Caenorhabditis elegans: one gene and its partner. The protein of the gene in region 1 interacts with the protein of each later gene in a pairwise test. Each region holds a gene or a part of one and is shown in the gene's direction. Other genes may lie near its edges.

Region 1 (6,292 bases):
AAAAGCCATGAAAATTTTTGAATTTGTTTTTGTTCAGCACATTTTTTCATTTCAGGTCATTTTTACATTATTCGTCATCACCACGGCTTGTTAGTATTCCTTTGAAAAATTTGAAACTGAATTTATTTTCTAATAAAATTATGACCAACGAAAGCAATTGTGAAAATAACTTTTTTCCTATGGAACCGTTTTGTTTTGAAATTATAATTTATTTTAATTGAACTCAAAACTAAAAAAAATCCTGCGTTTTTTTGAAACAAAGTGCTTACTCATTGGGTACCTAAAAATTAAGAACCATGGTCTTAATTTTTTTTGTTGAGTTTTTTTTTTTTAAATAATTGTGTTCTCATGCTAGATTATTAAACACATTTTCTATCAAAAAAAAATGCGCAAATGCAAGGTATCAACTCGGGAGAATCTTATTCATTTTTCAATTGTTTTCGCTTGTATTTTTTTCCAACCTTCCTCCGCTAGACATGTATTTGATGGGTTTCACCTTTTTCTTCCAATTTCAGTTCACGTTTTTTTGTTCAGCATCTCTTTTTTCCCCTCTTTTCAAAAGTATTCAATCTTATGCAATGTTGTTCTCAATAAAAGCAATAATGTGTTCAGTCCTTTACATGCGAGCAAACAGTCCTGAAACTTAACTGGCAGAGAATTGATATGCGTGTGGTTTATCATGTTTTTTCAGGGTTCTATAACTGGAAAGAAACTTATCACAAAGAAGAAATTCCACTCTTTACATTTTCAATTTTTGAAAGAATAATGAAGCTATGTTTTCTTTTCTTTTTTTTTGAACTTTTGAACTTTCAGGTAAAACAAAAAAGTTTTCTTAAATCTATTTTGGATTCAAATCGAGGAATGCCTTGGAAACTGATTTTTTTTTCACTAAAAGATTGTATCTTAAGAACTTTCGTTCCATTTTCTAGTCAAATTAAACTGTAAACTATTATGTCCTTCAATTGGGATGTATTGTAAAATTTGACCCGTTCCAAAATTATGATGGCATCTACTCATTTTTGTAGAAATAAAACCCAACCATCTGCTAGTCTCGGCAAACAACACGCGAACTTTGTTTTTATCCCCTCTCACTCTCAGTTCAGTTCAGCGCTCTCCACCGATTTTTTATTTTGATTTAACTCGTCAATACTCTCGTTCCATTGTTACGGTTGTTAGCTGCATATACAATACGTTTTTGGCGCCTGACGCGAGAAGGTGTAATGCGTGGCACGCATTGATAAGCGACACGGTTTGACAGGAAACTTTTAAGCAGTGCTCTGCCATTTCTGTCTTTGCACTCCATTACACCGTGCAATTTGCCTTTTACCGATCTTTCGTCACGGTCAATCATCTCCGTTTTCAGCCAGGTTTTTCTGTTTCAAATATAATTTCACGGGGAGTACAATAGGAATGGTTTGTCTTTGATGATAGTTGAGCAAAGTTTGCAGAAATAATCATATTTTATATGTAGCATAAGTTTGTTTTGCTATTTTTCTTAATTCTCACTGTTTATCGTTCTCGATTTTTCCATTCCCACAATTTAACAACTCCTATTATTGTGTCTTTTGTACAGACATGTCGCGAAGCACGGCTGTCAGCATCAACTTGGATGACGTCTTTGGCAACCTTCCAGCGTTGACATCTGCCACCAACGTGAAATCTTCCGAGGTAACCAAAAATTTCGCAGAATTTTTGTATTTCCAATAAATTTTGAAAATAATTTCAGTCTGGAAATAGAAGCCGCAAGACAACTGCTTCGAGTGTATCCACTGTGAGAGAGGTTCCGGTAAGAGTTCATTATGGTATAGAGCTCATAATACTTGTAAACTTTTCCAGATTGGAAACGGAATCCGATCACATGCGACATCAACTGTGGTGTCCCATCCACCACATGCAGTATCTGCACCTCCACCACCACCAGTCAATGTCACCCCAATTTCGCATTACTACGATGCAACTCCAGTGAATGACGATTTGATGAACTCGGTAACTATATTTTTAACTGAACCACTTTTCACAACAACGTTTTAAAGGTCTTTTCCGCTGTGACACTGCCAACTGTCAACTTGCACGGAGGACATGACGATGCTCTCCGTCATCTCGACGAAGCTTTGTATGGTGAGGATCACGAGTCCATCGTCAGTGAGCCACCATTTCAAGCTCCAAGCCATGTGAGCTCGTCACATGTTACATCTCATGTTAGCTCGCACAGAAATCAGTATGCAAGCGAACATCACCCACAAAACGCAAGCGTAGTGTCAAACGGATCTGCCAAGGTAAATTTCAATTTTTAGGAACTATTCGGGTAAGTTGGTCCGTTTTAGAGGCATGCCGCTGCACGAACTGGAAGTCTCGTCGTGAACAATGTTTTCAACGATTTGAATATCAATTCTCAAAGCTATGCAAGTTATTTGCATTGTGTTGAAAATAGATTGTTTTGAATTCAAAGTAAGTTCGTAATTTTCAGCACTACGACGCCTACGGATCTGAGCCGCAGCCGGATTATGAAGACGAGAGAAGTGACCACTTCAATCTGAATCATCAATATCCAATCAGAACGGGTGAGTGTCACTTTTCAAGACGGAAATAAAAAAAATTGTAGAAGCATGTAAATAAGTTGCAACGGTCATATTTCTGCTATGAGTCAGTTATTGAGGAGTGAACAGTGGTGTAGGCTTTTGTTATGCACATTGAACATAACTAGTCATACTCTTGTCTGCTCAAAAATGTTTGACTATTTTTATACTCAAGCGGGTCGTAAGTGTATCCGAAATAGTACTAGTTAGTTTTAAAAAAAGTTGCATATAATCAATGTATGTTTAAAAAAGTTATTTTAGCACAACCACACCGTGATCGTTCCAACACCATCGATAGCTCCGCATCGTTTGCTGAAAGCCGTTTCGGACAATTCGATGTTCACGATGAGCATGACCGTTACCATGGTGAAGAAATCAACCTTCATCATGACGAAGTGGCATATGAACGCCCACGTTCTGAGCTCAGCGTGAGAAAATTATCAAAAAAATCTTCATTATCATTAATAAAGTCTTTTTACAGTCACCAGGAAGTGTGTACTCTTCCCATACCCAAGCTTCGTTCCACACTGGTGGAACCCAGAAGCTGAGAAATCTTCAACGCCAAGTTGAAGATGCTCACGCGAAAAAAGCTCAGCTCTCTCATCAAGTTGACCGTCAACGCGCTGACAATGACCGCATGACTCATGCTAATTTGGCTCGTGAAGCTTCATTGAAGGTCAACAAAATTGGACAAGGTGCGAAGCCACAAGGCTACCACGTTCGCTCGTACAGCCATGAGCACGATCATCATCATTTGCCGCCACAGCCGAAATCCAGCCATTCTTCAAGTAAGTTTTAGAGAATTTAATTAGACTTATAAACACGGTCTTAACAAACACTCAAACTTGCCAAAATAACAAGATAATCAGGCTTCATTTTTCTGAGGTCGAAGTGAGTGTACCGTAGGAGTACTGCAGGAGTACGGTAGGATTACTGTAGTTTTCGTAAAATTTGATATAGAGCTTTTGAAGAGGTTGCGGTTTGCTGACATAACCGTGATAGTTTTTTTTTTTTTGAAAGTGTAAAATTGTTTCAAATCTTTCAAAAATGTTAGAAGCTTTACAAAAGTTTGAGGCTTTCCAAAACACTTCCGAAAAGATCACAATGCTCTAGAGGAACTTGTGTAGTATACCATACCCAAAACTATTATCCAATACGCTTTCAGTCGTTTCTTTCAAAAATGATAATATAATCAAAACTTGAACTACATTTGCATTTTTAAGCTCAGGAAACACTAATCCCATGCCTAATGTAGATTTAAAAAAATCACGAACATTTTTAAAATGGTTAAAACTTTCGGGCCAGGTGTACTGCACACACTCTACAAAAGTGTATAAATTATTTAAAAGAAAAAAAACCATGCACCTGCAAAAATGTGTGGCAGTTTTCAATTTTCTGTTTGTTCAATTTTCTGAGTACAATCAACGTTTTCTGTGCGAACTTCTATGTAAAACATATTATTTAAATTTTCTATTGCGTATATCGAATATTTAAGAGAGCGTGGACTCAAGCATCTACGAAGAGGAGGAAGCTCGTGTCAGCCCACTAGCTGCTAAACAAAAGGCAGCAGGAGAACATGTAAGTCATTTATTTTTCATATGAAAATTATTTTAATATTCTTAAAAATTATTAGATTGCAAGCAGCGGAAAATACGAGCTCGTTGTTCCACAATACTATGTTGTTGAAAACTTCTCCAAGAATGACAAGATCAACAAGGTTATCATTGGAGGAGATGCTCCACCAAGTGACGATGACAAGACTCTGCTCCTGTTCGGTCCAGTTAATTCTGGAAAGACTTCTGCTATTACCAGCATGATGAACTATTTGTATGATGTTAAGAAGGAGAATGATTTCCGGTAACTTAATTTTTTAATTTTCAATGTTATAATGTTCATTATTCTTCTTTTTTCAGATTTGTTTTGGACGAGCATGTGAACGCAACCACTGGACTCACCGCCTACGTTTTCAACAACACTGTTCTTCCTTATAACGTCACTGTTGTTGACACACCCGGGGTTGAGGACAAAATGGGCAACAAGACGGTCTCGCGACTTATCAAGCAGTGGTTTGAGAAGGTGAACTATTGAAACTTTGCAAAAAATTCTAAATTTCACGTTTTAGGAGCTTCTCAAATCTGGATCCTTCCGTCTTGATGCAATCTCAATTGTTTTGAGACACGACGAGAATCAACTGGGATGGCCGTTCATTTATGAGTTGGCTGATGTTAAGAGAATGTTCGGAGACGATTTGAAAACAAACGTTCTGCCGATTATCACCAACTCTGAAGTTCTCCCACAGCCAATTGCCATCAAAAGTCTCACACAGGCCAACATTTCTTTCCTTGAATACTACAAAGTTAACAACTCGGGATTCGCACCACTCCCAACAGGAATTTCCAAACTTCAACATAATCTCTACTGGACACACGGAACAGCTTCGTTGGAGAATCTTTTCAGAGTAAATATTATGGGTTGGGGAAGTGAAATTTAAAACTGAAAATACTAGGTGTCTCAGTCTGCGTATTTAACTCGGTTTAGTTGAAAATAACTGAAAATAGTACACTTTATTTGAAAAGTAATTTTGGCTTTCAAAAATCATCTTTCAAAAATCATCACATGAAAGCAAAGAACATAAGTATAAATTGAGGCGTCTCAAGATTATTTTTCAACCCGTCCGGGATCAAATTCAATTCAAACTTATATTGAAAAACGTATGCAGAAAAAACTGTATCTGATGAAACTTTAACATATTTTGAACTCCAACTTCAGCATAATTTTAATTTATTTCATATGTATGGGAAGGCTTTCAAATATTCAAAATAGAAAACTTTCCATGAAAACTATTCCGGTTTTTATAGTAATTATGACATAAAATTTTTCAAATGTGCTTATGAACATTTAAATAATTTTTTTAAACATATTTATATATTTTTGTTTTCGGTTTAGTTCTAAGCTTTTTTCATATCAAGTTTTTAACTCATATTAACTCACTTTTCAAAATTGTATTAATAATGTTCGAATGTGAGAGATGATATTAATTTTTGCGGTTTTGATAGGTCAGCTTATTATCTATGCTTCTGAAACTACCTTATTAAATCTTTCACTTCAGGATTTGCAAGAAACTGTCCACCCACTAGTTGCCATCCTCCGACACAACAAGGGACAAAAAGTCGAACAAGCTCCAGTGTTTGCTGATAAAGTGTTGTATTAAAAAACAATTTATTATTATTAGTATTATTATTTGTGTTTTCTGATTCAATGGTTTCAATTTAATCTCCGATCCACTCATTTTGTATTTATTGTTCGACTTAACATTTTTATCCAACGCGACTCGATAAACATTCCCTATCAATCGTTTTTTTTGTTTTTCAGCTTCATTTCTTTTCGCTAAGGAACTAATATAATTTTTGGCAGAATAATATTGTTCATTGATATTTAAATCAAAAATACAAATAATATTATAGGAAATTCTAGAAATTTCGACATATCAGTTAAGAGGAACGCTATTACAAGTGTCAAGTTTTACAAATATGATTACCTAGTGTATAAAACGAATTTCAGGAAATTTTAATTTTCAAAGTGTACAGAGAAAGCCTAGATTGATAGATACTATCACTTTCAAAAGTTCCTTAAAATTCAAAGCAAATGATGATACTCATTTTAAAGTGAATTAAAATTGTGAACATAACATTCGAACTTTTTGGAGCTTAGGCCGG
Region 2 (7,952 bases), 6.0 Mb from region 1:
TACCAACTTCTTTGATTCCTGGAGTAGATGAGATCCCTTCTGTAATTGAATATGCCATGTTTCTCCACTGAAGTCATATTTCTACAATAAACTCACCAACAATATGCACAATATCCTTTCTAATAGTCGGTTCACCTCCTGTCAGTCTAACTTTGTCAACGCCATGTGCAGCGAATAACTTTACAAGTCTTAATACTTCACTGTTTGAGAGCATTTTGTCTTTGGGCTTGAGAGGAACACCTTCGGCTGGCATGCAGTAAAGACAACGGAAGTTGCATTTTTCCGTTAGCGATATCCTCAAATAAGTGTGCTCTCTCATAAACATGTCAAAAAATGGTGGCTGGCCTTTTGTGTGTTCAATCTGAAATTGAACGATGAACGACAAGTGAACTTTCAGAATTTTCTTATATTTTCTTATCTCTTTCTCTGATTTCTGAAGCTCATTTGCACAATATGTTTAAGAATACCTCTTGAATTTTTAGTCTGACTGCTTCTCTTTTTTGTTCGGGCGTCAACGTGAGTATTGGTTCGGCATGTTCTCGTAATGGAACAGTTAGTTGTTTTACAATTTCTTCTGTTGACGACTTGACCCGTGACCATTGAAATAACTTTTTTCCTGCTCGACAACTCATCTGTAATATTTATATCAAAACACTTTTAAAAATGCGGTGCGATTAATTTATTGATTAGGAATTGAGAAAAAAAACAAAACCTAGAGAAAAGGTGTAAAGTAAACTCCAAGCAGCACATTGTGGCTCTCACGCTCAAACATAAATCGTGGGCGTTGAAACCATAGAAAATGCAAAACGGAACAACGGGAATGTTTTGTCATCATACAGGTTGATGGGCACTCTACTCTGCATTGGTGATTTGCAATTCAATTCCGAAAAGTGATTTTTGTGTCGACGAAGGAGAAAACGAACGTGTTGCAGAGAACAAAAAGAAAAAGAGGGATAGAGGCTCAGGAATTTTGGACTTTATATATCAGGAAATGTATTTTTAATGAAAATGAAATATCATGATTCGGTCTAACGATTTGAAAAACTCAGTAACTTTTGAATGTCAATAAAAAATTTTTATTCCAGCTGTTGAAAAGTGTTACTATTCTATTTGATCATTTTGGCATTTTATGGATAATTTTTAACAATTTTCTTACTGTCGCTACTCCACCTTAATTAATTTCTGATGCAAGTTATTAATTTCTGATGCAAGTTATCAATGTCTGATTTTCAAATGGTTCGTGAAAATAAATCGAGGTTTTATCATTATCTTTTAATCAATATGATTCTGACGCTAGAAACACAATATTTCTGGAAGAGACAACAACATTGTTTGTCAAAAGATAAACAAGCGAATATATTTCAGAACATTTGTGTGCTCTTGACTATCATTTCCTCATAGTTTCTAAATCAGAAGGAGTGTTGCCATTATGAGTAAGTTAAATACCGTGTCCCAAAAATATAGTGTACTCATAAACCCCTTTTTTTAAAGTTGTCACGTCCTCCAAGTGTCCCATCTTCCAAACATCTCTATTTCTCTCTGTCTTTCTTTCTGACGTGTCTTTTTAACTCTTTTGGTGACCCCTGTAATTTGTACATTGTATAATAAAGCATAGACTATTTGAGACAGAGAGAGCGATGTGAAAAGGGCACTTGATACAACGTAAAAAAAATTGTTACAGCTGGCATCTTCAATCTGGGCGCTCGACGATCTTCGCTGATTGGGATGAAACTATGGAGATGGAGAGGTGAGGATTTTTGGGGTAAAAATATTCAATCAATTTAAGTGACTCATACAAACACAAAAAAATCATGTTATCAAAATCCATTCAATAATAAAATTGCAAAAAATAAATACGGAATGTTCCAATCTGCCTCCCTCATTCCCATCCCATTCCATTCTTTTGTTCTGTTTGTCCTGGTTTTCATCGAAATATTGATAAACTCCAATGGAATCTGCAACTGACGAGTTTTACTACCAATCTCGCATTCCACCACAGCCATCCCCTTTACCAGCTCAAACTCTTGAAATTAACGGTCACAAATATGTTCTCAATCATCGTTTCAAGAGTATCAAGATTGGTAAGTATGGTTATACGTCCGAGTGATTGGCAAACGACCTCGGGATACATACGTTTTGTTAGCCGGATAGTTACGACGTGTTTTTTTGGAGGGAGAAGACGAACGGAATAGAAAACTTAGACATTAGTCATGCTTGTCAGTTGTGTCGCGCGTCTCTTTGTGCCAAAAAACTTCGCCACATGTTAAAAGGTTGGTCAACTTTTGTTTGTATCGAGGGAAATACTGAACTTAAATGCAACATTAATATTTTCATAGAATAAAATGTAAGTATTAGTTTCAAAAAGTTACATTTTAAAGCTTTATAATTTGCAGCTCAATTTATATTTTCAAATATCTCTGAGAAGCATGTGAAAATATAACTTTCATTTTGAGGTGTTCGTAACATTATATAAGTTCTCGTCTTCTGAACACTACCTAGAAATTTAATATATTGTTGGAATTGGAGTTGGAAATGTTGGAAATCATGTGGGGATGCCCGAATGTAGGTGTCCCTGTAAGACAAAACTAGGCAAATCAATAAACACGATTTTTTAAGTGATAATGTGTATGTATTGTAGCTTTTACTTGTGAATTAATTTCATAAGCAACTTAACTTAACTGTGCTAGTGGTATTTTTTGTTTAGTTACATTTTCCTAACAATGATACACTTATTTTGATTGAGCAAGATGCTCAACATATTTCTACTGTCTTTGATGTTTCACATGTATAACGCAAATTTTGAACATACATGTTCAAAAAATCATTATTTACTCACTTATTAACAACATTGGTATGACAATGTAATTTAAATTGCGGTATATTAAATCAATAATTTTTTATGGTTTAAAATAAGTTTTGAGTTTTGACTACTTCTCTAAATTTTGAATAAATTACAAAACGAGTTACTTGTAAAGATGCCGATCAACTTTTGTAGCACAATAATTAAAGTTGTCCTGTACTTTATTCATAGCTTTATTTAATTCTAAACAAATTTTATTTTACTTCACGGGTCAGTGTTCAGAATTGAAACAATTAAAACAAACTAGAGTTCAATGTTTTACTAATAACACTCACTATCAGGTTTCTTTACAAGCTTAAACGATGCGTTTTTTATATTTTTATATTATTTAATTTCAAATTATTCAAATGTTGTTCAAAAAGTTGCATACGGCTTGTCATTTTTTTTTGTCAGATGTCACCATTCTCTGTTGTCACGCTCTTAAAATTGATAGTGTCAAAATGTCAACAGTATTTCTTCACACAATCAGAATAGTCGCTTCAGAATGGCACAAAAACTTAAAGTAGGCGGCGATTTTTGGTTTTGTTTCACACTCTCCCAATCTGCCAGGTTTCTCGCCGCTTGGCGCCGATGCCCGGGTAATGTACATAATCAAACGCACGCAGCATACCAAAGTCGGGGCTCTTATCACTTGCACAACGCTTTTTCAATAGGTGCCTGCCGCACTGCGTCGTTTCATGAACTTGGTTGTACGCTCGCCTCATTTTCTTATAGAGTGTACACTGTTTTAGGCGTTTTGCCGGCATAATGGCCATTATTTTACTCCAAAAATGAAATATTTTTTGTTTCATTCCTTTCTTATGACACATGTTGCGGTGATAACCATAATCGTTATGATGGAAAGTGGAATTCAGGAATGTTGGCAAACAAAATGACTTTATAACACTATTTCTTCAAAAAATATAGATATTTGTGTTTTATTGATTTAGGTTCACCGTCTTAGGGTTTTTTTAAGTTCTATAACTTGTTTAGTTGTATATTTTTTATAATATTTAGTGTCGCATGCCTTTAGCAATTAACAATATCAATAAAGAAAGTTTCTCGGATGGCAAAAGCGTTATCTACAACAGACCAACCCTGCCCATAAAATATTATAAAACTTTTCCCGCAAAAGTAGTGCATTACTTATGAAAATTGAATGTCAAACAGTTTGCAAAAAGTTGGTTTTCAGTCTCTCATCGGTATCCACCAATCATCCCGATGTCGGTCGACGAACAAGCGGTACCACCGGAGGTTTCGCCTTCAATGGCTGCCAACATTCCACAGATGGTCCACGATCAGCTAGCCGCACAGTTTTTGCCAGGTACCTCTTGTTTAGGTTAACATACACAACAAAATTTCAGCGGCAAAAAATCTTGGGCAAGCCGGAATGCATCTACTGAAAACATATTACAGTAAGTATTTTTGATCAGAAAACAATAAGTTCTCTTACACAGTATTCTTTCTATGCTTTTGTTGTATTTTAAAAAACCTGAGAATGCCTAAATTGTGGCTCGAAAATAGCGGCAACAGGGAAAACAATCGGCGAAGAAAGATATAGGTTCCTTCGCTACGAGATATTCCCGCGCCAAAACGGTAGGCACTCTCATGATCTCATGGTTTCTTAATATTGTAAGAGATGAGAAGTAAAAAAAATTAGAAAACGTTACTGCAAAAAGTTGGCAAATATACGTTGAAAGTATTATAGTTATCATGGTCGGGACGGTTTGTAACAATGGCTCAATAATGTGAATAAAATATACTCAGCTCATCCCATTTCTGTGTTAATAATTTGTTTATAACTCAATTCAGTTTGTATCGCAACACATGAAAACATGTGTAGTTGAAAGACGCATTCATAGAACTCGAGTTTTATATTTTCATAGTTTGTGCCTAAAAATTCAATGACAAAAACTATATTTTTTGTGAGAGTGGAAATTGAAACATTTTCGTTTGCAATCCATATCAATGTAGGTCAAGAAAAATAGCTTTTCAATAATCACATCAAGTTTTCAAGATGACAAGAGTATATAAAAATTTGCAATTTTCAGTGTTCCAAGAAGCATTGTCAAACTATTGTGATGCCACTCACAAACTTATCAAATCAGCTGATACTGCTGGACACAAATCGAAAAATGAAGCTCGAGAGCTTTCAAAAGTTTTTAAAGAGTTTGTACAGGGAGTAAATGCTCATCAAAAAGTCGTAAGCATCAATCTAAAGAAAAGTTTCGCATTCAATATATAATTAAACATAGATTACGGAATTTGACGCGCTGGCACACAAAGTTCATGACTATAGCAACAAGGAAAAAGACAAGCTGAAGACAGAATTTGCTGAGTACAAAGCAAAAGAAAAAAAACTTCTGAAACGCAAAAATGGAGAAACTGAACAAGATATTACCGCGTTCCATAAAAAAGAAGCAGCCAGCTGGGCAAAACAACAGGAAATGAGATACAAATTTTTCAATGACAAGCTGCAATCCTGGATTCACGGGTGAGTTAAATGTAATTAGAATTGTGAAAATAGCAACATTAATTCAATTTCTGGAAAAAAAAACTCTCATAAAATATTATCAGATACGTCGAAATTGGGAAATTATTCCAAGCCCAAGAAGTGATTGTTCAGCCAGCAGTTGGGAGTGTGATCGCTGCACCGGTTGAAATTGAGACCATACCAGAAGACCACAAAGATTGGCATCAAGATTTACATGAGCATGCCGCCGTTGTTGCAGCTGAGGAAATTAAAGAGAATGTTGAAAAGGTAAAACACAATTTAATGCGTGTATATCATATTAAATTTCAGAAAGTAGATGAAGCTGTACAGGACAGCCGCAGCAATTCGACTTCATCGGTTGCAACAACGCTAGAGGATCTTCCATCTTCTCGTCGTCTCACAAATGACGTTTCCGGAGTCACACTGGTTAGTAATTATCGCCGTCAATCAATTGAGGTTAGTTGAGGACTAATATGTCATGTGAAGAAATGTTTCAAAGTTGTTATAAGTCAATATTGTGTATAAACAATAGGTCATAGTTACATTAAATCACGTACATAAAACTTATAATACATACGTTTCATTTTGTATTAAAAAAAAAGAACACTCACATTTTCAAAGTTTATTACTATGTGTAAGCCATCGGACTAGTTGTAGGATACTTAAAATTTGAACTGTTGAAGCAAGGAGGTATTCAAAATTTCTCCTATTTTGAAAAATTCGCATCTGCAATAACACTATTTTTTAATGTTTGTATAATGTCCGCATGTGCTATTAAATTATCTAGGATAAAAATCAATAAAAAACGCAACATTTTGAATTTTAATTTAGATTAAAATCAGTTTATTTATTCATAGTTAAGCCTGCATGAACTTTCAATCAGCAACACAGTGTTTTCAAAATTTAACAATAGAATTCAAAAATGTTTGTAAACATCGAAGCAAAAGTCTTTAATCGAAAAAAGAAATATTAGCATCGTTTTGTCAATTAGATTTTATTGAGTTTTCACTTTGGTTTTGAAATCTTGGCAATCTTTCTATCACGTTTTAGAAATGTTACGCGAATTTTAAAAGGCTGACTGAAGAACAACTATTTTCACGTGTTACATAATTATCAAAATTTTTTCGTAACAACTTCACGTGTTTGTTTAATGGTAGAATAGCGACGTATGAATAGTTGCTCTATTTGACTCAAAATTACCTCACATAACATTACTATATTTTATTTAATCTTTCACATAAAGTTTTTATCAAAGATTTGAACTGCAGTAAAAACATTTCATATTCTTATTATGTATTCACAACGTGCCCCGAATTAAAATACCATGCATTGGTTTTTACAAACAGTAAATGCAACTGGTTTATTTCGAAGAAAAATTTAATTGCCGTATTAATTTCAGATTCAACAACTTCCACCCAACAACAGCTACTCCCACATTGCTCCACCAGTCTTGCCGCCAAAACCAGTTGTCGAAAACCCCCAATATGCTCCGATTCGCGCTCAACCAGTTCCAGTCACACGCCAGGAGGAGAGCACATACGCCCCTCGTCATAATGTTGTCGCCGAGGTAAGCATCTGGTGTAATCATCTTTTCACTCGCTATTATTTGTCCATTTTGATAAAACTATGCGTTTCCAGCAAGTGCCTCAACAGCCGGTTAATAGCGCTCCAGGTGGTGTCCGCCGTGCTGGAAACACAATTCCAGGTGCTGTTAATGTTTTCGGATTTGCAAATCAATCAAATCCTCAGCCAAATGTCCGCTACACGCCTGTTCAGGTAAAAACTATTCGTGTAATTTTCAATTTTCAAGTGTGATAATCCTTCAGAATAGCACGCCTTATCAAGTTGTTACCAGCGATTATATTCGCGTTGGGAGAGTCGTCGATAATCCAGTGACAGAGGAGCAAATGAATGCTAAAAAGTGAGTACTCACAAGAAATTTGAAAAAAAGAACGACATATTCAGATTCCACGTGGATTCTAGTTACCTTCCAATGGCTGCTCCATCTCACCAAGCACAACAACACAGTCGCAATCATAGTACAGATATTTCGGTTCCATCATTCTTCAACCCATCACAATATGGAAGTATTCTGATTGTTAACGATGATTTCAATGCTTCTTCCGGAGAACAGATGACTGTGAATCGTGGAGACAAGGTACCAAAAACTTTCTAAATAATTTTGAAAAATTAAACTAAAACTTGTTACTTTTTGTGACGTCAAGAAGAAAACAAAAAGAATATAAAACTTTCAAGCAAAACGGCAAACCGATAAAATTTCTAACAACAGACCGGTGCCCTAAAAAAGTGGTAACATTTGCCTGTATCAATATTTTAATTTGACACTATTATAGGATTTGAAAGCCTACATGAGTAGAGTTTCATGAATGTTTTTTTTAATCAAAATCAATTTAAGGTTATTAATTTTTTATCAAAAAAATCTTAGCATTGGTTCGAGATATTTAATTTATGGAATTCGTTTTTACATTCAAACAAGTCCTTACTGAACATTTGTCTAACAGGCTCTTTGTAATATTTAGTATTGAATTAGAGAATACTTGCAAAACATAGTGTAGTTGAAAACTATGTTGATGTTGTTCTTTGTTAGATATTTTGAAA

Evidence for each region. The genes of interacting proteins can lie anywhere in the genome.
Region 2: the proteins of C18B2.5 (region 1) and F49E2.2 interact in a two-hybrid assay, tested with the Caenorhabditis elegans proteins (one large-scale study listed by BioGRID).

What each region holds. Positions count from the first base shown.
Region 1 is NC_003284.9:3,606,374-3,612,665, reverse strand, and holds C18B2.5 (G domain-containing protein), read left to right. Parts: upstream 1-1,573; 5' UTR 1,574-1,575; coding exon 1,576-1,668; intron 1,669-1,726; coding exon 1,727-1,786; intron 1,787-1,836; coding exon 1,837-1,986; intron 1,987-2,033; coding exon 2,034-2,276; intron 2,277-2,324; coding exon 2,325-2,402; intron 2,403-2,467; coding exon 2,468-2,561; intron 2,562-2,837; coding exon 2,838-3,004; intron 3,005-3,057; coding exon 3,058-3,364; intron 3,365-4,071; coding exon 4,072-4,154; intron 4,155-4,209; coding exon 4,210-4,433; intron 4,434-4,489; coding exon 4,490-4,652; intron 4,653-4,698; coding exon 4,699-5,034; intron 5,035-5,685; coding exon 5,686-5,787; downstream 5,788-6,292.
Region 2 is NC_003284.9:9,565,348-9,573,299, forward strand, and holds the start of F49E2.2 (SH3 domain-containing protein), read left to right. Parts: upstream 1-1,948; coding exon 1,949-2,081; intron 2,082-3,435; exon of another isoform or gene 3,436-3,560; intron 3,561-3,688; exon of another isoform or gene 3,689-3,709; intron 3,710-4,031; coding exon 4,032-4,163; intron 4,164-4,203; coding exon 4,204-4,254; intron 4,255-4,890; coding exon 4,891-5,042; intron 5,043-5,094; coding exon 5,095-5,333; intron 5,334-5,416; coding exon 5,417-5,600; intron 5,601-5,642; coding exon 5,643-5,789; intron 5,790-6,732; coding exon 6,733-6,900; intron 6,901-6,971; coding exon 6,972-7,109; intron 7,110-7,159; coding exon 7,160-7,254; intron 7,255-7,298; coding exon 7,299-7,491; intron 7,492-7,952. Other genes in the region: moc-5 (GTP 3',8-cyclase), read right to left, coding at 1-39, 97-361, 468-632.